3 linked regions of the Diceros bicornis minor genome follow. The protein of the gene in region 1 binds, or shares a complex with, the protein of each later gene. Links are inferred from orthologs where the notes say so. Each region holds a gene or a part of one and is shown in the gene's direction. Other genes may lie near its edges.

Region 1 (7,198 bases):
GGCGTGAAAGGCCGGCTCTGCCCTCTGCCGTCGCGCAGTCCGGCTGAATGTGCAGCCTGGAGAGCCCATGTGGGAGCTGCAGGGCTAGCTGCCTCTGGGGACGGCAGGGCTGGGGAGAGCAGGGAGGGGCAGAGAGGGCCCCCAACCAGTGAGTGTCAGCCAAGGTGCAGGAGGAGACTGGTCCCCACAGAGCTGACAGTCTATTTGGAAGAGGTTTTCTAGAACCTTCCCTGGAAAGCAGCAGGGAGCCCCCAAGGCTGTTGAGCAGGGGAGGGACTGGTGAATTTGTCCTGATGCAGGTCTCCGTGATGCTTACAATCACTGTTGAGTTGTCCTAGTTTCCTTCAGCATGGAGGGCAGAGCTCACTGGGAATGGACTAGGGACCTGAAAAGAGGACAAAGACGAGAAGGCGCAGAAGAGACTCTGGGGAATCTGAGTTTGTGACCGACGTCCCCCCATCGGAAGAGACCTAGTCCCCTTCTGTCCCATAGGAAGGCCCTGCCCAGTGTTCAAGGCCTCAGGCTGCCCCTCAGTCTCCCCGTGGACGCACCACAAGCTCACTCATTCAGGGCACCCTGAGATCTGCCATGACGAGGAGGACACTAGTAGACAGACGGCACTTACAGGACACGGTGGACACACACGAGAGAGGGGAGTGGGCTCTGGGAGAATTCCTGGAGAAAATGACACCTGAGTTGATTCCGATAACCGCATGTGATGAGGGTTGGTGGCACTTAAATTCACAGGCCAATTGTTTCTACAACAACAGCTTCCTAGAGTCTGGGAAAGGCTGTGTGTAATTCAGTCCTGCCCTGACAGCCCAGCTTCCTGCCTGACCCTCCCTCTCGGTTACTCAGCAAGTATTCGTGCAGCATCTGTGACACGCCGGAAGCCGGGCCGGGCTCTGGGCACACAGAGGTCAAAGAATAGGCTCTTCTGTTAAGTGCCACCAAGGAGAAACCCAGGATGGTGTGAGAGGGTGCATCCTGGACCCTCGTGGACTAGAGCGTGGCAGGCTTGGTGACTGCCTCTCCACCAGCAGAGGGCTTTGAAAGTCCCCAAAGCCTGAGTTTCTCAGAGTCAAAGATGCACTTCCTTCAACAAAAAGCTGGATGCCTCTGTGGATTCATGGTTGCCACCGGTATTTGTACGGCTCATTCAACACGCAGTCTTTGAGCCCCCCAGATGCTAGGCCCTGGCAGGTATCAGCCATGAGACTTGATTCCCACTCAGAGGAAATGGTATCACGCGGCACTTTTTATAAGCCAGGCCCCGGAGGTGTTTTATGGTATATTTTTGTCTCATTTGATTCTCACAGATTATTAATCTCCTGTGAGGGATGTTTTAATTATCTCCATATATGAAAACCATGACCCAAGCTTTAAGGGGTGAGCCCAGGATTTGAGCCCCACTCTGAGTATCCTCTTCAGCAGCCGCACCACCTCCCCTCACGGTGCTTACATCCCCTTTGCGGGGGGGGGGGGGGGGGGGGGGACGGGGGGGCACAAAGGAGCCCGCAACACAAGGCCTTTCCTAATCATATATTCACTCTCCTCTTCTTCAGAAACGTTTCCCGAGACCCCTCTGCGGAGCTGGCACACTCCTAACAGCGGCCGTCAGTTCCCGGCCCCCCGGCCGCCTGGGGATCCCCAAGGCCGCGAGGAACGAGAACCGGGCGGGGGGCCGGGCATGGAGCCCCAGGGTTAGCGCCCGTGGGAGGCGCCCGCGCTGGGCCGCCGGAGGAGGCAGGTGCGGAGGAGCGCGAGGGCCCCGGAGTTCTGGGCGCCACGGGCTGGTTTGGAGGGTCCCCGCTGAGCCTCACGAGATGGGAGCGATGGCTCGCGTTAGGGAGACCGCGGAAGCCACCCCAAAGGGCGAAAAGGAGCCCTAGCAAGTCCGGTCCCCCAGAGCTGCTGCTGGCCATGTGACTCGTGCCCGCGGGCAGGACCGCGCAGACCCCAAGCAGCGGCGATCGGGGAGGGCACGCGGCACCATGAGCAATAACTTCTGCCGGGCCCTGGTGGACCGGCGGCCCATGGCGCCCCCCGGCTGCATGCAGCTGGGCGTCGCGCCCCCTCGGCGGCAGGCGCCCCTGCCACCCGCCGATCCCCTGGGCGGCGTGCCCCTCCTGCTGTACCCGGGGGCGGCCGAGCCGCCCTTCTACGAGGCCTACGCGGGCGTGTTCCCCTACGCGCCGTTCCCCGGCGCCTTCGGGGTCTACGACTGCCCCTTCGAGCCCGCCTTCATCCAGAAGCGCAACGAGCGCGAGCGGCAGCGGGTCAAGTGTGTGAACGAGGGCTACGCGCGCCTCCGCGGCCACCTGCCGGGCGCGCTGGCTGAGAAGCGGCTCAGCAAGGTGGAGACGCTGCGCGCCGCCATCCGCTACATCAAGCACCTGCAGGAGCTGCTGAGCGCGGCCCCCGACGGCGCGCCCCCCGCCGGCGCCCGGCCCCACGGCCCCGACGGCGCGCCCCCCGCCCTGGCGCCTGAGACTCCCGACGCCTCCCGCTTCGCCTCCGCGCCGCTCTTTGAGTCGGAGGAATCGGGCCACTGACCGCGCCGTGGCCGCCCGGGGCTCGGGGGTCCCCCGCAGTGCGGCGGGACCCTGACATTTGGAGATCCGCGGCGACACCCTCCCTCCCCCACCGCCACCACCGGCCTCCTCCCTTCCCGCTTGGGGCAGGGGTGCAGGGCAGGAGTACGAGGGGCGCTATAGAGACCCGGGAGCCCGGGGCTGCGGTGAGCGCGCAAGACCGGGGAAGCTCCGGATGGGCGCCGCGCCCCCCCCCCCCCAGGCCGCAGGAGGACAACCCGGGACGGTTGTCCCTGGGTCTGGCTCCGGCTCTGCTTCAGCCCCGCGCTGGGAAAGTGGGAACCCAGCTCCTGGTTGTGCACACCCAACCATGGTGGCCCTGCTCCGTCCTCCGTGGCCCCAGGCCCGGTGTCTGCCATCGCCGGGAGGCGAGCCGCGCTTTGGTTCGGATGTGCTATGCCCCGCTCTCCACCAGATGGCCTCCAAGGCTAGTGTCCTCTCGGGAGCTTGCGTGCCCCACCCCCGGAGAGGAGCCCAGAGCTGGAGGTGGGAGGCGGGACTGCTGCTTGCGCTCCGCCCAGGTGGAACCGACTGAGGGAGGAAGAGGACATCCGTGTACACGGGTGGCGCTCTCTGGCTGCCTCGATGGAGGGCGATCACCACCACCACCACCCCCAGGGTGCCCGTTTCCTCCTTTTTCCCTTGGGCCTGTAGTCTCTGTGGGCTGGGGAGGCATATGGATACATTGGCGCTGTGTTTGCTCCAAGGGGCTGAATAAAAGATTGCTGACTTTTGTGATTCCTAGGTGGTTGTGGACCCTCGTCTACCCCGCACCCCTACTCCTTCCTGCTCCCATCTCAGAGCACTTGCTGTGCGTGTGGGGGGTGTTCCCTTAGCTCACACGTGTGTGCCAGGGACAGTGCCTGGAGGGCCAGCGTCCCCGAGACACACACCACCCTGCACAGTTAGGCACAAAGTACAGTCACTACCCAGTGTGGCCGGTGCTGCTGGAGGTGTGCAGGTTCCAGGGTCTTCCGGAGCCTCCACCCCAGTGGGGAGAGGTGAGCTTCCCCTGCCATGCGTGTGCATGGGGGTGGCGGTGGGCAGGAGGCTTGGCCTGGGAGCTGCAGGTCCTGAGATGCGGGGCCGTGGAGCTGTGCTGAGCTGGGCCACCAGCACCTCGCCTGGCTGGTGCCACGGGGCAGGGGGCAGAAAGCTCAGCTGGGCCCGAGGGAGCCAGCCTGAAGTTTGAGGCTCCATATCCTAAGCTCCCCCTTCCCAAACTCTCTATCTCCCCTGCCTTGAACCCCTCCATCCTGTCTCTAGCTGCCCCATCAGTGCCCCATCCCAGGCCCGTGTGGAAGTTCCCTCCCCCTCGGGGACATATTGGGATGTCACTGGCTGGGCTGGGCAGGAATGACAGCTGCCTGGCCTCGGGTGTTTGGGCTGGCCAGAGAGAGCCGAGCGGAGGGTAATTTTACTCGCTGGGAGCAGGGAAAGTAATCCTCCAGCCCCCGCCCCGCTGGCTCAGCAGGGCAGGCTTGGCTGGCAGGCTTAGCCCGCCAGTCCCCAAGGCGGGGGCGCTGGGGACACAGGGAGGAGAGGGCAGTGGGGTGGGGGAGCCAGGAGAGCAAGGCTGCCAGGAGAGCCATGGAGCCGTCCTCGCCCCAGGATGAGGGCCTGAGGAAGAAGCAGCCCAAGAAGCCTGTTCCTGAGATTCTGCCCAGGCCGCCCCGGGCCTTGTTCTGCTTGACACTCCAGAACCCCTTGAGGAAGGCCTGCATCAGCATTGTGGAATGGAAGTATCCTTTAGGGCCAGGGCAGCAGGGAGGACATGGGTCGCGTGGGAGAGGGAGGCAGGGGGTGGTCACAGACTGCAAACTTTGGGAGCCAGGGGGACTGGGGACTTAGAGACGGGGTGGACTGCCCCAGACGGTGTGAGGAGCCTTTGGGAAGGAAGCCCTAACCGAGGGGGACCAGAGGAGGAGGAGGAGGAACTGATGGGCTTCTGGGGCCTGCGTGTGCAGCCCAAGTCCTGGGGGCAGCCTGAGATGCCCACTGACCGCTACGAAAGGGGCTGGGATGTTCCTCAGGGCTGTTCCCAGCTGATCCCAAATCCACGTTATTGTGGGGCACTTCTCTGGTTTTTGAAGCAGCAGCGCCCTTTTGATATAGGATGCGGAAGAAGAAAGCAGTGGCCTCTGCAAAAAAATCCCCCATCTCGATGGGAGGGGATAAAAGTGAAGAGGGAGGTGAGGGCCGAGGAAGGCTTCCACTCTTCCCCCAGGGAAAATCCCAGCCAGGATGGAGGAGAAATGGGCTGGAACGAGGCCGGCTGTGGAGGGCGCCCAGGAGCAGGCCTGGCTATTTTAGCTCAGACGCACCAGCCTGGGGTTGGGGGTTTGAAATCACTCTGTTTGCGTTAGCTATGGGAGGAAGAATGATGAAAATATCTGGGCTATTTGGGGAAGGGAGGAAGGAGCTAGAGAGAGGTGGGGAGGCCCATGTCCAGTGGGTCCTAAGAGAGAGGCTCAGAAACATTTGAAATATGTGGGAAGCGTTCTGGAAGAACAGGCTCCCGGCAGCTGTTCCCTGGAAGAAAGCAGAGCATGAGATAAGCAAGGGAAGAGTATAGGAAGGGAAAGAAGCACATAGGACCAGATTGGAATAGTTTGGGTCAGAGTCCGCCCTGCTCCCCAAGCTGCGCTCAGCCCGTTGGACCTCCCGCTGCCTCCCCTCCTGCCTGTCTTCTGGGGCTCCGTTCACCCAGCGGGCTCTCTCTCTCCTCCATCTCTGCTCCTCTGTGCCTTCTCCTCTCGCAGGCCTCTGTCCAGTGGCCACCTCTCTTCTCAAACACTGGAGGTTGCTGGGAAGGGAATGGGGTTTCCAATCAAGCCCATCGACACAGTGTGCTTCTCCCCACCCATCCACACACACACATACACACACACACCCGCACACTCTCCTCCGTTCCTTCCCTCCCCTCCTTCCACACCAGCTTCCCAGTGGTCAGCCTCTCTGATTGGCCCCTGCTGCTCACCAGCAGATCAAGAAAGGACTGGGCCGGGGCACCCTCTGGACATCGCTGTGTGGGGTGGGAGCGTCTGGGAGGGGCTGCGTGAGTGGGTTCGAGGTGTGCACACCAGCGTGCGGCACTGATCGGGTGGGTCATCCAGTCCCTCCTCGGGCTCTGAGATGCAGGCTCCATCTCTCTCTCTTCCCTTTCCCAGGCCTGCTCTGTGGGTACCTAGCCCAAACCTGCACCAGCCCACAGCCTCTCCTGCCATTTCTCTGAGTGAGCCCGCAGGTTGTCTGGCCGGAGCCTCAGAAAGTCCTGGCTCCTCTGGAGGACGCAGGTGGGAGCAGGGTTAGGGGCAGGCCTTAGAACAGAGGGTTAAGACTTCCCTGGACCTTAAAGCTGAGTAGCCCCCAGCCGGGGACCAGAGCTTCCTGGTCCCAAAGCATCTAAGTGGAAGTTAGCTGTTTCTGAGGAGAGGGAGACAAGATCCCCCCGGTGGGAGCCTGGCACTTTCTATACCCTGCAAGACTGTAGGGACAGAGCCCGTCAGCCCGGCATCACAGTCACAGTCCAGACTGACCCCCAGCACTCTCTTCCTCTTAACCCTGCAAACCCCACACTCTCCTTAACCCTAGAACCAGGCCCTTCGAGACAATCATCTTACTCACCATCTTTGCCAACTGCGTGGCCCTGGCCGTGTACCTGCCCATGCCGGAGGATGACAACAACGCTCTGAACCTCGGCCTGGTAAGATGGGGCCCCCCGGCCCCCCCTGCAGGCCTGCAGCCCAGGCGCGGGGAGACCCCCTTGGGGGACCGTGTGCTGGTGGGTGATGCTGGAGCTCCCACCCCCAGGATACAGGCCCCGCCCTCCCGCCCACCTGCAGGGCTGGCCAAGCGGCTCGACAGCTTTGCAGAGTGAACTCACTTCTTCTGGATCCCATGGTATTACCAGCCGGCACTGGACGAGCCCTCGCTGTGCCTGGGCACCGCGCTGAGCACCTTACAAGAGCCAGCTCACGTACTCCTCGAAACAGCCCCTTGGAGTAGGCCCATTTGACAGATGCGGAGGCTGAGGCTTAGCAAGGCCGGCTAGCAAGCGGTGGCAGCTGAGGGCTGACTCCCTTCCCTGGATATAATCCAGAGGAGCGGTGCTTCCACTAAGCTTCCTTCCTGGGAGGGTCTGGTCTCCAAATCCCGGGAGGACGTGTTTAGAGTCCTATACCTCCTCCTAGGCTCCGTCACCATAACACAGCGCAGAACCACAACCGCCAGAGCTAGGAGGGCTTTCCCAGAGTCAGGCCGTCCTGCCTCCTCCCCACCTCTCTCTTTTATGGGTGAGAAACCGGTGACTTGGTGGTTGAAGGGCTTCCTTACCCAAGAGCTGGATAATAACAGAAATGCTTCACACTTAGGAAGAGGCGTTAGGTGCGGGGCTCTGTGATAAGTGTTTTACCGAGCTGCCTTTTCTAATCCCCGGAATTACCCCTGCGGAGTCAGTGACAGTGTTAGACCCATCATGAGACAAGGACACAGGGTCAGAGAGGTGGGGACCTTGCCCGGGGTCACCCACACAGGTCTTCTCTTGGTCTCACACTTGGCCTCCCTGACTGTCAGACCTGCCGTGTCCTCGCTGTGTTGGCAGT
Region 2 (7,131 bases), on another chromosome or scaffold:
AGAGTGTGGATGGTGGGGGGTTGGGCTGATTTGGGGAGGGAGGAAAGGGCTGAGTGGGAAAAGCCAGGCTTTTGAGGACACTGTATACAGCCTTGGTCAGCCAGCCGCTGTCCAGTCCTCCCTGCTTTGCACCTCTCACAACCATGTCCTCTCTCCTCCCCTTCCAGTCCTGGGGCGGGTGCTGGAGGTGACAGATCTCCCTGAGGGCATCACCCGTACAGAGGCGGACAAACTCTTCACTCAGCTTGCCATGTCCGGCGCCAAGATCCAGTGGCTCAAGGATGCTCAGGGGCTGCCTGGCGGGGGTGGGGGGGACAACAGTGGGACTGCCGAGAACGGCCGCCACGCGGACCTCGCTGCCTTGTACACCATCGTGGCTGTGTTCCCCAGCCCCCTGGCTGCTCAAAATGCCTCCCTTCGCCTCAACAACTCTGTGAGTCGCTTCAAACTTCGAGTGGCCAAAAAGAACTATGACCTGAGGATCCTGGAGCGAGCCAGCTCCCAATAAACGGAGGAGGGGAAGGGACTGGCCTGGTGGGGGTGGAGGCAGGTTGGAGAGTTGAGGCATCCTGACAGACCACAGACAGAGGCAGAAAGTAAGGTGACAGACACTAAACTGGAGCCTAAGGCAGGAGAGATGAAGATGGGATCAGAGACCCTCACAATGGCACTGGGCTCCTTGCTCCCCTGTCATGGGTCCCCTCTTTTTCTCTGGTTGGCCCCCCTCTGCTTCCCTCTCCTTCCCATCCTCTTCTGTCATTTTTTTATCTCTTTGCCCACCGTGAAATTAATTTATTTCATATTTTTGGTCAGGTAGAATTGGGAGGGTCCCACACTCCCCTCTTCTCCTATTTCTGTACCATCCCAAGCTCCCTTTTCTTTTTTGGTCTTTACGAATATATTTATATGGACAGAATTAAGAAAAATGAAATTGATTTCCCCTTTCTCTCACTTCCCCCATCTTGTCTCCCTAAACCCCACAGAGTTAAAAACTTGGGCCTCCCCCCCACAGAACACTTGTATATTGTTTGTTTGAGGTTCGTGCCGCAGTAACAGACACAGTATTTAATTGCACATACAGATGTTTGCTGGGTATATTCACTGTAAATTTATTTAATCTGATTTTTTGTTTGGGGGGGTTATCTGGGGAGAGGTTGATTTTGTTTTTAAATATAAAAAAAAAAAAAAAATCTGTCACTTGACGTCAGTCCCTGTTTCTCTCTTGCCGCCCTGGTGTGGGTGGGGGTTGGAGGTCCTGGGTAGGTACAGCCCCACAGCTGTTGGAGGGATTTGATGTGGGTTGGGATGGCTTTCCCTAGCATATGCACACATATCTTCCTAACACTGTTCCCTGTGTCCCTTCCTCCTCCTTGCACATAATATTCTGATAGATGGCTGGGTCTCTAATGGGACCTTGGGTTCTGGGCTCTCCCAACTCAGCCACTAACTGTGGTTCATCAGGCACGTCACTTTTCCTTTCTGGACCTCTGACTCCTTTATCAGTACAATAAAAGACTTGGACTGACTGGGTGACCTCTAAGATTCCTTCCACTCTGTTAAGTCTGTGATACTCATTTAGGGCCCTCATGGCTGAGCTGGGGAGGGGTGAGTGAGGTCCAGAAATGAGTTGAGATGCTGCCTCATACCTGTCCCTCTAATCTTCTGAAAACTCTTCAGGGATGGAGGACTTGGGCCTTTCTTTAATCCTAAAGCCAGAGGATTGAGTTTTACCTGGTAGGAACAGAGGTAGATGTTTCTTACAATAAAAGCTACATCAATTGAACTTGCAGTGCCAAGATGCCATGTTATCCAGGCGTGCTCAGCGGTCCGTGGCCTATGCAGCTGAAGAATGGTGAAGAGCAGAAGTCACTTGCTTGCAAGATGGAGCTTTTCCTCACTCTGAGGCTTCTTAAAGCTAGCCCTGTTGTGCAGAGGGTCAGACCAGGGCCGTTAAAGAACCTGTAGACCCAGAACCTCCAAGCAGCCCCTTTTCAATCTCACCCACTCCTTAAAGAGAAAAAAGAGCAGTGGTAGAAATGACCGAGCACCTTGCCCTGGAAATCTCTTGGGTCTGGGTAGCCGCATCTCTAGCCAGTCCCTTCTGAAGCTTGTCTGACCCAACCTGCAATGTAATCCTTTACTTCTTACAGATACAAGGCATAAAGCAGCACTACAGTACCAGCTCCAAATCGCTCTCCTCTGAGATGGAGTACCTCCTCTTTCAGCCATGTCGCAGCCCAGGGTAGGGGAAGGCTGCATCCCTGTGAGATAAGAATGCCAGATATCTCACTGACCCAGCAGTTCGTATACCTGGGGCATCAGAGGAGGGCGATGGAATCAGAACCAAAGTGATTTAGGAAGTGTGAGGCTTGGCCCTCCTACCTCCAAGAGTCGAGTCTGCAGTTCTCATGGGGAAGGAGACATTACTTACAGATGATAACTCCCCATGTGGCAGCTCTTGCCTTCTGTCCAATGTTAAGAGGACCATCTCTACGTGATTGTTAGACCCTCACCCCCCCAGAACCCCTCAGATGGAAGTCCCAGCCTGGCTTTTTTTAGTAACTCTTAGAATTCCCTTCACCCTGAGGACAAGATTTTAGAGGAATCCGGGGAAAGATGTCTCTGGGGGCAGCTGGAGGGAACAAAGCGGTACTACATGTTCCTCACTCCCTTACAGGATGGCAGCAAGTTGCCCCTCCAGCCACCACGGATAGGAGAGCAGTCTCCTCTGGCTGATAGGAGAGCTCTGAGAATGCAAATTTCCCTGTCTTCACCCGTCCCCAGCCCTTCCCTTCCTAAAAGTTTGAGGCTAGATTGATGCTTGAGAGTATAAAAATACATGGCCACATGAAGACAATGGCTGAGAGGTTCCTAAAGTAGGTCCAGAGAGGGTAGAATTTTAGATGACTACCTTCCTTCATCTAAAATCACCCAAATGAGGATGCAGCATGAACACCGTCCCTTCCTGAATTTAGCCGTTACTGACCTACACACTGTGGATGAAAAACCAGGGAACAGCAGCTCTGGGGGATGGGAGGACTTAGGGTCCAGCCCTGCCCAGGCCACCCCGTGTCCAATTTCTCTGTGTCAGCTGTGTCACTCAGCTGTCCACTTTGCTCCAGCCCTGTCATTTCAGCTCTGACACCAAGGCGAGAGGCTAAGAGGTCTACAAATACCGTCTGGGTAGCTGGTGTGAGTACACAGGGTAGTGGGGGGGCTTAGCCCCCAAGGAAGAAGACCAGTCCTCCCCCAGCACCACCATCAAGACCCCAGGTGCTCCCTCCTCCCTCCACAGACTCTGGACTGACTAGGGAATCCCAAACGTAAGTTGCCTTGTCATCCTCTTCCCATTTCCAGGACTGCTTACCCCAGCTTCCCCAATCCGTAGTCTGTTCAGCTTATTTCTCTCCTCCTCTGTGAGTAGTTTGGGTTTTAGGAGTGAAATTTATTATTCTACTCCAGAACAAGAGTTAGGATTGGAAGGTGGGGTGGGGGTGGGGTCAAGGTAATGGAGTAGTAAGGGAAGGAAAGGCTCATATTACTCTGAAAACTTAAAATAGCTGAGGGCTGAGGCAGGCTGGGAACTAAGCACTGGGCCCCTGGGGCTCAAGAAAGAGGGGAGAACAAATGTCCCCAGCCCATCCCATCATGCATGCTATGGACACACACATTAAACTTGCTGAAGAAAGGGGATCTGGGAAGGTGTATGTCATGTCTCTACTGCACACAAAGTACCTGTAGGAAATGCCCTAAACCGTACAGACTTGAGCACTGTGTTGGGGCTGTAAACTCGGGTTGTCCCTCAGGGTGGAAGGATGGGTATCAGTTTGAGGAACTGGTTGGGAAGTTCTTGAGTCTGTTGGGCTTTTCTCTGGACTTCCGTGGAAACTTTCTGTTCATAAGCCTGTGAAAGGATCCCTGTTTAACCAAATTTCCCCTGAAGCCTCCTCTTCAAGGACCACCCTACTGTGAGGGACAGGAATAGGGAGGGAAGAATGGCAGGCAGAGGTGACATTTCATAGTGGGGTCTGACCTCTTGCAGGATGACAGAGAAGGAGGTGCTGGAGTCCCCTAAGCCCCCCTTCCCAGCAGAGACTCGGCAAAGTGGGGTGAGTCTGGGCCTCTGACCACCAGCTGTGGGGAGCTGGGAAGCCATGGCAACCCTTGATGAAAAGCGCTTGAGTTGATCTCACTAGTATGTGACTCATTTATTGTTAGAATGCTAGCCAGCACCTGCAGCCCCCAATACCCCCCAATGCTGGGCTGTGCCCCTTGCCCGAGGCTAGAAAAATGTCTAGTCAGCTTCCACCTTACCTCCTCTAGAAAGCATGACAGTTCTTTTAACATTGGGTTTCCTTCCCTCCTTCCCTGCCTCCCTCAGCTACAGCGGCTGAAGCAGTTATTCAGGAAGGAGTCCACAGTGACAAAGGAGATGGAGCTGCCCCCAGAGCCCCAGGCTAATGGGGAGGCAGTGGGAGCTGGGGCTGGGCCCATCTACTACATCTATGAGGAAGAGGAGGAGGAAGAGGAGGAGGAGGAGCCACCCCCAGAACCTCCTAAGCTTGTCAATGATAAGCCCCACAAATTCAAAGATCATTTCTTCAAGAAGCCCAAGTTCTGTGATGTCTGTGCCCGGATGATTGTGCGTGAGTCTTGAAGGGAAGTGGAGAGAGTGTGATGTCGAAGGCAGGGGGCGGGGACAGAGTTTAGGAGAGGGGTATTTGTATCACAGACAGGCTTTGGCATGATTTTGGCTTTAAGAAAATACTATTAGAGACTGAGAATGTTGGCTCCCAGACAGAAAAGGGACTAAGAGCTCGAGGAGCAGCTGTGGCATGAGGGAAGGGAGCTCAGGGACCTCACCCAAACATTCTCCCCTCTCCCAAGTCAACAACAAATTTGGGCTTCGCTGCAAGAACTGCAAAACTAACATCCACGAACACTGTCAGTCCTACGTGGAAATGCAGAGGTGCTTCGGGAAGATCGTGAGTAGACCTTGGGAGCAAGAAAGTAGAAGGGAGGGGCGTGTTGCCAGCTACCCTCTTGCCAGTCCCTCCTCAAGTCATCCCGTCCATTTCCCTGCTGCTTCTTTCTCAGCCCATCTCTTACTCTAAGAAGAGGTGAGCACTCATGGGAGAGATGGGTTCTGGGCCCTTCCTTGCTATCTCTAATGTTTTCTCCCATCCCCTCCTACAGCCCCCTGGTTTCCATCGGGCCTATAGCTCCCCACTCTACAGCAACCAGCAGTACGCTTGTGTCAAAGATCTCTGTAAGTGCCCCCTATGGGACCTGAGGGAACGGGCAAGCCTAGAGACCGTGTCAGCACCACCTTTAGATTTGGAAGCAAATTCTGAAACAGAAAGATCCTATTTCACAAGATTGTCTCTCAAGCTAAACTTTTAGCCATCTTGGATGCAGTCAATATTCCCATTTTATAGCTGAGGGAGATAAGATTTAGCTAGGGCTTCACACAGATAACAAGAGACAGAGCCAAGACTGAAACCTTCATCTGCCTAACTTCAAAATCTGTGCTCTTCATATATGAAACCATTTCTAAGCAAGAACAAGGATTTTAGACTCTCTACATCCTGGTTACAGAATAATGCCAAACTCAAAGCCAGACCAAGAGCTGTGAGCATCCTGGGCAGATTCATAATTTGGCAACCCTTCAAAAAGTATTCATTGACAATTTCTCAAGATTTATTTGGAGGAGAGGCTGAACTCTGTGAGGAGCATGGGTGGAAAAAGAAGAACCCACCGGTGTTAGCATCCCCGCTTACACATGCCACTCAGCAGAACAAAAGCCAGCAGTTAAAAGACCACTCTCCTTAGAAGGAGAATAGTGATTCTGAGGATTCCCCAACTCCCAAGCAGCATGTTAGCAAAGCTGTCTTTCCAACATCATATAATGCTCTGCCTAGAAGGAGTGCTGGTAAACATTTTTCTCTATCACATTACATTTCCAGGGATATTTTTAGAGCTCTTTATAGATTGATGACCTAGGTAGCCCAGCTGACCCTTCCCTAATCCTACACAAACATGCGCACATGCATGCATGTCTATCTGCTCAGTCCCACCTCTCCCTTACTTAGGAGGTCTCTCTTTCCTTCAAGCCTTTCTCTGCCTCCGCAGTAATGTCTTCTTTCTTTTCCCATTCCCGCTAGCTGCTGCCAATCGCAATGACCCTGTGTTTGAAACCCTGCGCACTGGGGTGATCATGGCAAACAAGGAACGGAAGAAGGGACAGGCAGATAAGAAGAATGTGAGCACCATACCTTCCTACTGAGGTCCCTTCCAGAGACCCTGTGGAGCAGGTCCTCCCTCCTCTCTGGAAAGCTGACAGAAGCTAGGGATCCTCTCCCTCTAAAATTGCACATAACCCAACAGATACATTTTTGTGTGCAATTTTAGAGGGCCTCAGGTTAACAACTCCTGCCATAGTGTGTTTTCTCCAGGAACTCCCTTCTGAAATTGTCAGATTAACCACCAACAAACTGAAGCCTAGGCCCCAGGCCCCTGGCATTGCTGGGCACCAGAGACAAGAGCAATGCTTTTGGATTTGGGAAAGAGAACTTGCCATGCCACGTAATCAGAGAATTTTAGAGCCATGCAAGGGTCCATGAAGATCATCTGGTCTGACCCATTTCCTATAGATAAGGAAACTGAGGCACAAAGCTAGTGGCCAAGAGCAACTTTACTTCCTTTTGTAATAGGGTTACTAGATCAGTAATGCCATAGACTTGCACTCAGTTCAGCAAGGAATTTGTTAGTGTATCCTTGTATTTTTCTGTACAACCAGATGGACCAATGTGGATAATGGTTACAGTTGGATGGATTCCTAAAATTGGTTGCATGACAGTAACCAAAGGATCCTGGTCCTTTAGGAAGTGTCCAGTGAGAGGGAGATTTCTGATGCCTTATAACATGATTCGGTCCTTGGTCCCACCTATGGAAATTTTTCTCACTGATGCAAATGAAGATATAAATGGTATATCCAGGGGCTGGCCCTGTGGCGTAGCAGTTAAGTGCATGAGCTCCGCCGCTGGTGATCCGGGTTCGGATCCCGGGCACACACTGATGCACCACTTGTCAGGCCATGCTGGCACAGATGTTAGCCCAGGGCCAGTCTTC
Region 3 (7,088 bases), on another chromosome or scaffold:
CTCCAGCAAAAGATCCTCCTTTAACAATTTGGGACCCCCGATGCTCATCCCTCTAAAGTTCTAACCCTTAACAGCCCTCCACCTCCTTGTTTACTCCAAAGAGAAGACATTGCTGTTACCGTGGTAACAAATGCTTTGTGGGAGGGTAGGGGGAATGGACTAGAGAAAGAAAGTAGTGGCTTCAGGACACTCGCAGAGGCATAGGAGGTGGGGGGTGGGCAAAATGGCACAGGGCCTGGGGAAGGGCACCAGGGGCTGTGACCCACCCCACACCATGGCTGCTGTCAGCCCTATTTCCCCAGCCTCAAGGAGAAAAGGAACAGGCTAGAAGGGAATGTCTTCCTGGGAGGAGAGGTTTTCCTCGTGGAGGAGACCGAAGCATCCCAACCTCATTACCCTCCGACAGGAGAACAGGTCTCCTGGAGAGCCCGGCTTGGTGGGGGATGGGTGAGGGACTGCATGCACCGGAGCCCAGGTTGTTCCCCTCCAGGGAGCCTGGGGCACCGAGAGAGGGAACAGCTCACCCACAGCATGATAGGGACAGTGCCACCGGCAGTGGGGGGCGGCACTATGCCAGTGTCCCGAGCTCCAGGGGTTGGTGGCGGCAGGGGGTGGAGGGGCCCTCCTCCAGCCCCTGGGGACCTGGCTGTCCCAGATGCCACAGTCGGGAAGTGTGTCAGGCACTTGCGTAAGAGGCTTCTATATTTTCATAAAATCGTAATTACCGATACCAGCCATGGGCCTTAGCTCATTAGAGAGGTATCTGCCTCTGCGGCTCTGGGGTGGGCTGGCAGGGGGACATAGGGGAGACTGGGCAAGGCCAGGCCTCTCACTGCATTCTCTGCATCCCCACTGCAGCCCCACTGAGCCTGGGCCTTCTTCCTCTCCCCAGCTGGGAGATGAGAATTCAGACTTGGCCTCAACCATGACAGGCTCCCCCACCCTAGGAGCCCTGATTCTAAAGCTGGAGAGAAAGGCCAGCCACTCATGTTTTCAGCTTGGGCTGCCCTTGGCAACCCATGGGAGCAGAGGCCACAGCAGGAAGGAGATTGACCTGAAAGTGCTTATGGGAGGAAATAGGTCAGTCCTCAGGGAAGGAGATGTGATCCTCCACATCAGAGAATCTCGACCACTCAGAGTGGAGGGGACCCTGGGGGTCATTCAGACCAGTGGCACTTAACCTTTTGGGCTCTTAGAGTCTCTAAGGAGCAGATGAATCTCTGGACTCTCCCCCAGAAAATGCTTATCCTCCAAATTTTTACACAGCTTCAAGGAGTTCATGAATTCCCTGAAGCTCACCTGCAAGCTCAAGGTTAAGGATGCATAATAATAATAATAACTATTTATTGTGCACTTACTCTGCCCAGATCTCTATATATACTAACTCATTTAATCCTCAAAAGAACGCTAAGAGGTGTACAATTATTGTCCCCATTTCAATCCAACTCCCCATTTCTACCTGATCTAGTCCAATTCTGCCAATCTAAAAAGAAAACCATAGTCCCTCCAGCCCAAGGTCACAGAACAGGAAGAAAAATCAGATCAGAATGGGGACCAGGCTCTCTTAACATGCTGGACATTGTGCTGCACACAGATTCGAAGTTATCTCGTCCATCCTTCTGTCCCCGGGCTCCAGAGAGCCCAGCGCCCCCTCTGGTTCACTCGGCTCTCCTAGTAAGAGGCACCCCAGTAGCCCATTAGACTTCTGGTCTACAGAGCCCTTCTGAGAGTGTGACTGCCGCTTTTCCCTCTGTAGGATCTTGCTCCTTGCTCGGCTCATCCCTCATTTCTGCCCTCTGAACTTGAGATGGGACAATGTTCCTCCTTCCCCAGGAGGAGCTAGCCTGGCTGCTCCTGCCTTGTCCCTAGCCACTGCAGTGGGAGTTGTCGGCACTGAGACAATGACTCAGACTTAGTTCATGAAAGACAGCTCTGAAACATCAAGGCTGTGAGCCAGAAAGGACATCCAGAGGTCATGGGATCCAGCCCACTGCCTCCTCCACATCTGTCCCACCTCAGGCTTCTGATGTGAGACCAGATGGGCCCCAGGGCCCACCAACTTTCCTGCCTTTCCTTGGTCACTGGTGACACTGATTCCCCTGGGAATGCTTCCCCGTGTCGAGACTCTCCTTCTGTGTCCACTCCCCGTGGAATAACAGGCTCCAAATGGCCCAGGAACGTGAGGGAAGGAAGCTGTTTCTTCTCTCTGCCTCAGAGAAAGCACTGGGAAACGACAAGCTTCCAGAAGAAAGGAGGGAAAGAAGAAAATAACTTTCCCTGCCTGTCTTTCCCAGGCTAAGTGGCATCCTGCACTATCTCATTCATTCACCTAAGGGTGAGGGAGGCACAATCTCCGTTTTGCTTATGAAGACATCAAGGGTCTGAAAAGTTTAATTACCTACCCAAGGTCACACAGTTAATTTGTGACTATACAGTTATTGGACTTTAAGGAAACTTGAGCCCCGGCTCTTTGGGGAGAAACAGGAGTACCTCTTCCCGGGGGGTCACCAAACACAGAAGTCCCTGTTTACTCCAGCCCAGGATAGATGGAGGGCCTGATGACCCTACCTCAGGTTGCTCCGAGCATCCCTAAGACTGAGTTGCCCAGGGAGGGGACATTGGGCTGAGCTGGGCTGGGCAAGAGGGAGGAGGGCAGTCCTCAAAGGGGATTGGGAGAAGGCTGGTAACGAATGGGCCTTTGGAGAAACTGGTCCGAGGGCTGAGGCCAGGTTCTATTGAAGCTCCTTTCAGGAAAGCTAGCACCCAGAGAGTCTGCAGCTGCAGTGGATGGGTCTGGAGAGGGAGGGAACAAAGCGCCCACAACCACAAACCCTCGTGTCTTCCCTTGTCCTACTTCTGCCACTGGCAAATAAATATATATTCCTAGACACAGTAACCTGAGCAGTGCTCCAATGGTGAGCTCATCCTTGGAAAGACGGAGATGGCATGAATGGCTATGTGCACAGGGTGGGGAGTGGGGGAACGCAGGGTTCAACATCTGTCTTCCAGGGCTGGCCTAAAAGCAGGACCCTCTGGAGTGCCACCCCCACCCCCCATCTCATCACCTACAGCAGATTGAGGAGGAGGGAGACTTAGACCCAGAAGTCTCTCCACCCACACTCAGGGAAGGATTCTCTCAACTCCCAACCTATATCCCTGTGGACAAGCCAAGAGATGAAGCTAGACCTTTTGGTCAGGGCCAGAGGGGGCAGGAGGTGAGGGAGGAGGACTTGGGGAAATGGCAGGTAAGCAACATGCATTAGAAGAGGTACCTTCAGGCCAAGTGGACAGAGGACACCTTGGAGGGTAAGAACCCTCTTCTCCCCACCTCTCCCTACCTGCTGATCTAACTCCATTTGTGGTAGGATCTTTAGGGGGGAGGCATGTCTTGAGGTGGTTTGGGGACTTCAGGTGTGGGGATTGAGGCTCTTTCTCTGCTGAAGTCCAGACACCAAGACTGGAAAGGAATACAGTTGTCCCACTTTCCGTCCACAAAGTAGGGTTTGTCAGGCCTGGTCTTTGACACATGATAAGTTGTCCTTTCTCTCCTTAAGGAAACCCCTACCTCATAGTCCAGGGGTGTGTATATCTGGAGAGAGCCTCTCCAGGGCAGAGAGACATCCAGTTAACGGGGCACAAGTGTCCCCATTCTTCCTCCACTTCGCTTTCAGGAAGTCCTAACTTTGATTTCATTCTCAGCTATCCTTCTGCAGATCCAACCTATTTCTATTTCCCCCGACCCCATCCACACTCAAATACGATCTCCGGAGCGTTCCTTCAACCTTGTCACGCCCCCCACTCCCCCTCTTCCGAGGTTTTTCCGTGTAAAACTGTCCCCTCCACTTCTTTACCCTCCAAGCCCCTCCCCATCTTGTCGAGCCCCCACAGGCTCCGCCCAGCTCGCCCTCCTGGCCACGGCAGCAGCCAATAACTGAGAACCTGATTTGCATAGCGGCGCCGTGGGGGAGCAGCGGAGGCAAGGGGGAGGGACCAGGCGACCTCCTAAATCAAAGTTGGGAGGCGAGAACTGGGCGGAGGGCCCGCGGGTGCCGGGTTGGGCCCGGCGGGGGGAGGGGCAGGGGGATGGGGGGCGGGCGCAGAGGACCGCGGAGCCGGCCGGACACGGACAGCTCCGTCGCTCCCTCCCTCGGCTCATCCCTGCGTCCCCACTTCCCTCCTCCCCTCGCTCTGAGCAGCATCCTCTGCACACCCTCGGTCCTCACTCCCGCGTTCGTCCGGCTCCCGCGGCTCCGTGTAATTGCCTCCTCTCACCGGCCAACCCCGGAACTTTCTCCACCCGGGCCCAGGAGTCGGGGGTGGCTTCGCCAGGGCGGGTTTCAACTAGGGTTCATTGGGGGGCAATCTCTGGAGAAGGGCTTCAAGGTCCCAGAGAGACGCCCACCACCCGCAACCTGCCCCCATCGGGCCTGCCGTCGGGCCTAGGCACCCTCTCGCCCCTTCTACCCCAACCATGACCGAAATGAGCGAGAAGGAGAACGAACCGGATGACGCGGCCACCCACACACCCCCGGGGACCGGCTCTGCCCTCCAGGAAACCAAGGTAACTCGGGAGTCACAAGGCCTGGGCCCCTTGCCCGGTGCGCCCCTGGCCCCCGCGCCCTCTTCCAGACGCGGTCGCCACTGTGGGCTCAGGTGCCCTGGGTCACGGTAGCGGGGCCCCTGTGATCCCTAAGGCTCCGCGTGGCCACTTGGGGGGAGTGGGTTCGCGACGAGGGGCCACAAGGAGCCCCCATCACACAAGCACGACACGCCCTTGCGCGCGTGATGAGCGGACGCGCTACCGTGACCCTCCAGGGAGGTGGGAACTGGTCTTTGTTGGAGGGAATCGGCGCAGCGAAGGCGGAGGGAGTGTGTAGCGGTGTGTAGCGGGTTTGGGACGGTGTACGCGCTGTGTGTGCGTGCGAGGCGCACCCCTCCCGTGTCCGCCAGGTCTCTGTCTGTAGCTCAGTCTGTCCCTCTCCCTTTGCCTGTGTCTCTCTGAAAATGTCTCTACAACCTGTTTGTCTCTGTCTTGGTGTCTCTCTCTGTGCGTCTCTCCCGGGTTCTCTCGGCGTCTCTATGTGTTTATCGGAGTCTCTCTGGACGTCTCTCTCTGACCCGCCGCAGTCCTGCGTTTCCCCGCTCCCAACCGGGCTATGCTCGGGGACGTGAGGCCGCGGCCCAGGGGTACGCAGCTCCGAGTCCGCGCTGGGGGCTGCGGCAGCGCGGCCCATCGCGGGCGGGGACCGGGGGACTGTTGCGGCTCTAGAGCAGAGATAGGCAGCCCCACCCCCCACCCCGGGAGCGGGACGGGGGGGGGGGTTGAAGCAAAAAGAGAAGTCATCATAATTAACGAATGTCATAATTAACCCTAATTATGTATGATTGTTACTCCTGCGGGAGTCACAATGAATAAATTATTCCCCAGTGAAGTCAGGCAGAGCCCAGACTCCTGGCGCTGAAGGGGGTGGGGGGAGAACGCCGCTCACATTCAACGCCTCCCCCCATCTCTAATCTGTCCGCTCCCTCCCCAAGTTCCAGGTTTTCGCTACTGACCCGCAAGAAGTTCTGCGGGAGCAACCTGAGCGGGCTGGGGATGAGGAGAGAAGCGGCTGTGTCAAGGGTGCTCCCTGTCCCCTCCCCAGACTTCAGGCTGAGACCTCATTCCCTGTCCCTTCCACCAGGAGTTTTGTTCTCACTCTGCTCCTGTCCTCCAGATGAGGAGGGGGACAGGGAAAACCAGAAATGGGTGGGGTCTTTGGCTCCCCCTGGTATCACTTGCTCATCTACAGCTCTTTCCATGTCCATCTTCCTCCTCATTCTGTCTTGACCATCCCCCAAGATATGAGGTTAATTCAAGGTCAAGGTCATCAATGGGGAGATAAGTAGGACCAGGGTGGGGTCTGGCTGAGACACTCCAGCTACCTCCCCATCCCTAAACCAGAGGGACCCAGCGGGTCTCCATGTACAGGTCTCCAGATCCGCACTTGACCTTCTCCTGGCCCCTTCAGAGAACGAGCCCCTGGGGTCTCAGACAACAGAGTCAACTCCCCCTCAGAGAGCCAAGTCTCTACTGGGAAAGAGTTGTTGGGATGGGAGGTTATTGCTTGGCAGTCGTGACAGCTTCTTTCAAGCAGAGGGTCCCAAGAGCTGAGCCCCATCCTAATTTCCAATGCCCCTAACCTTCTCAGTTGCTCTCTAGTTGCCCTAGACAGACATACACAATCCCCCTGCTTGCTTCCCAGAGGCTTGGGGGCATCCCAGGCCCTGCTCTGCTTCCCACGCCAAGGCCTGACCTCTCTGCCCCCTCCTTAAGAGCTCTCTGAAAGCAGGCAGGAGCTGGGCAGTGCTGCCTTAGCAATCAGCAGGCTGCAAGCTCAGCTGCGTGGGGAGGGCGCGGTCAGAGCCTGGCAGTTCTGTACCTCTCTCCCCCCAGCCCAAGGGCCCTGCAGTGCCATTACCTCTGGGTCTGAGCCCTGGAGATCCAAGGAGCAGGGGAGGAGGGGGATGCACACCTGACCTGGCCCCTCTGTGCCAGGCCAGTTGGAGCCCTGCCCCTTTGCCGCCCTCCCCCCAGCCTTGTGAAGGACTCAGTAATAACAATACAGGCCGACCTGGGGTCTGGGAGGGTGGTACTCGGGATGGCAGAGGAGGGGAGAGAGAGAATTCAGGGCCCTTGCCAGCCTCCTTTCATGCCCCCACCTCAACCTGTTCCCAAAGAAGTCTCTGTCTCCAGACTGTAGGGGTGAGGGAGAGGGAAGGAAGTGGGTTGGTTGCTGCCCACCCAGCTCAGTTTGAGGCAGGTACAACAGAGGGGGCTGGTGCCCATCAGGCAATGAAGCCAATATTCTAGGCTTATTCATCAGCGTTTGGGGCCCCGTGCGCATTTCTTGCCTGCCCATGTCCAGCCTCCTGCCCACCTTAAGGTTAGGGCTCACGCCTATAACCAAGCTACTCAGCGACCCTGCTAGTGTCGACATCGCCTTCTCTGCGTCCCCATCCCATCCTACCACATAGGGCCTGCCACCACCTGCTTTGGTGCCATCCTTGGGAAGACCCTGCCCTGCCAGCTCTGCCATCTGAGCTTG

What was found. Proteins that work in one complex are often made in the same cells at the same time.
Region 2: CACNA1S (region 1) and STAC3 share a complex: the UniProt entries of both Homo sapiens proteins name them as parts of the calcium channel complex. The link is inferred for Diceros bicornis minor from reciprocal best matches to the Homo sapiens genes CACNA1S and STAC3.
Region 3: the proteins of CACNA1S (region 1) and STAC2 are in contact, whole or in part, in a crystal structure (PDB 6B27), measured with the Homo sapiens proteins. The link is inferred for Diceros bicornis minor from reciprocal best matches to the Homo sapiens genes CACNA1S and STAC2. Residues at the interface, in NP_000060.2 of Homo sapiens: Glu749, Pro750, Glu751, Ile752, Pro753, Ser755, Pro756, Arg757, Pro758; in NP_945344.1 of Homo sapiens: Tyr301, Lys302, Phe303, Gln306, Glu307, Asp310, Asn326, Asp328, Trp329, Phe340, Pro342, Asn344, Phe345.

What each region holds. Positions count from the first base shown.
Region 1 is NC_080777.1:29,420,820-29,428,017, reverse strand, and holds the start of CACNA1S (voltage-dependent L-type calcium channel subunit alpha-1S), read left to right. Parts: upstream 1-4,184; coding exon 4,185-4,336; intron 4,337-6,194; coding exon 6,195-6,300; intron 6,301-7,198. Other genes in the region: ASCL5 (achaete-scute homolog 5), read left to right, coding at 1,995-2,555. UniProt on the Homo sapiens protein: Pore-forming, alpha-1S subunit of the voltage-gated calcium channel that gives rise to L-type calcium currents in skeletal muscle.
Region 2 is NC_080756.1:11,652,991-11,660,121, forward strand, and holds the start of STAC3 (SH3 and cysteine-rich domain-containing protein 3), read left to right. Parts: upstream 1-4,123; 5' UTR 4,124-4,219; coding exon 4,220-4,646; intron 4,647-4,887; coding exon 4,888-4,985; exon of another isoform or gene 4,986-5,130; coding exon of another isoform or gene 5,131-5,196; coding exon 5,197-5,269; intron 5,270-6,164; coding exon 6,165-6,262; intron 6,263-7,131. Other genes in the region: R3HDM2 (R3H domain-containing protein 2), read left to right, coding at 168-508. UniProt on the Homo sapiens protein: Required for normal excitation-contraction coupling in skeletal muscle and for normal muscle contraction in response to membrane depolarization. Required for normal Ca(2+) release from the sarcplasmic reticulum, which ultimately leads to muscle contraction.
Region 3 is NC_080757.1:39,006,183-39,013,270, reverse strand, and holds the start of STAC2 (SH3 and cysteine-rich domain-containing protein 2), read left to right. Parts: upstream 1-4,080; 5' UTR 4,081-4,254; intron 4,255-4,443; 5' UTR 4,444-4,471; coding exon 4,472-4,561; intron 4,562-7,088. UniProt on the Homo sapiens protein: Plays a redundant role in promoting the expression of calcium channel CACNA1S at the cell membrane, and thereby contributes to increased channel activity. Slows down the inactivation rate of the calcium channel CACNA1C.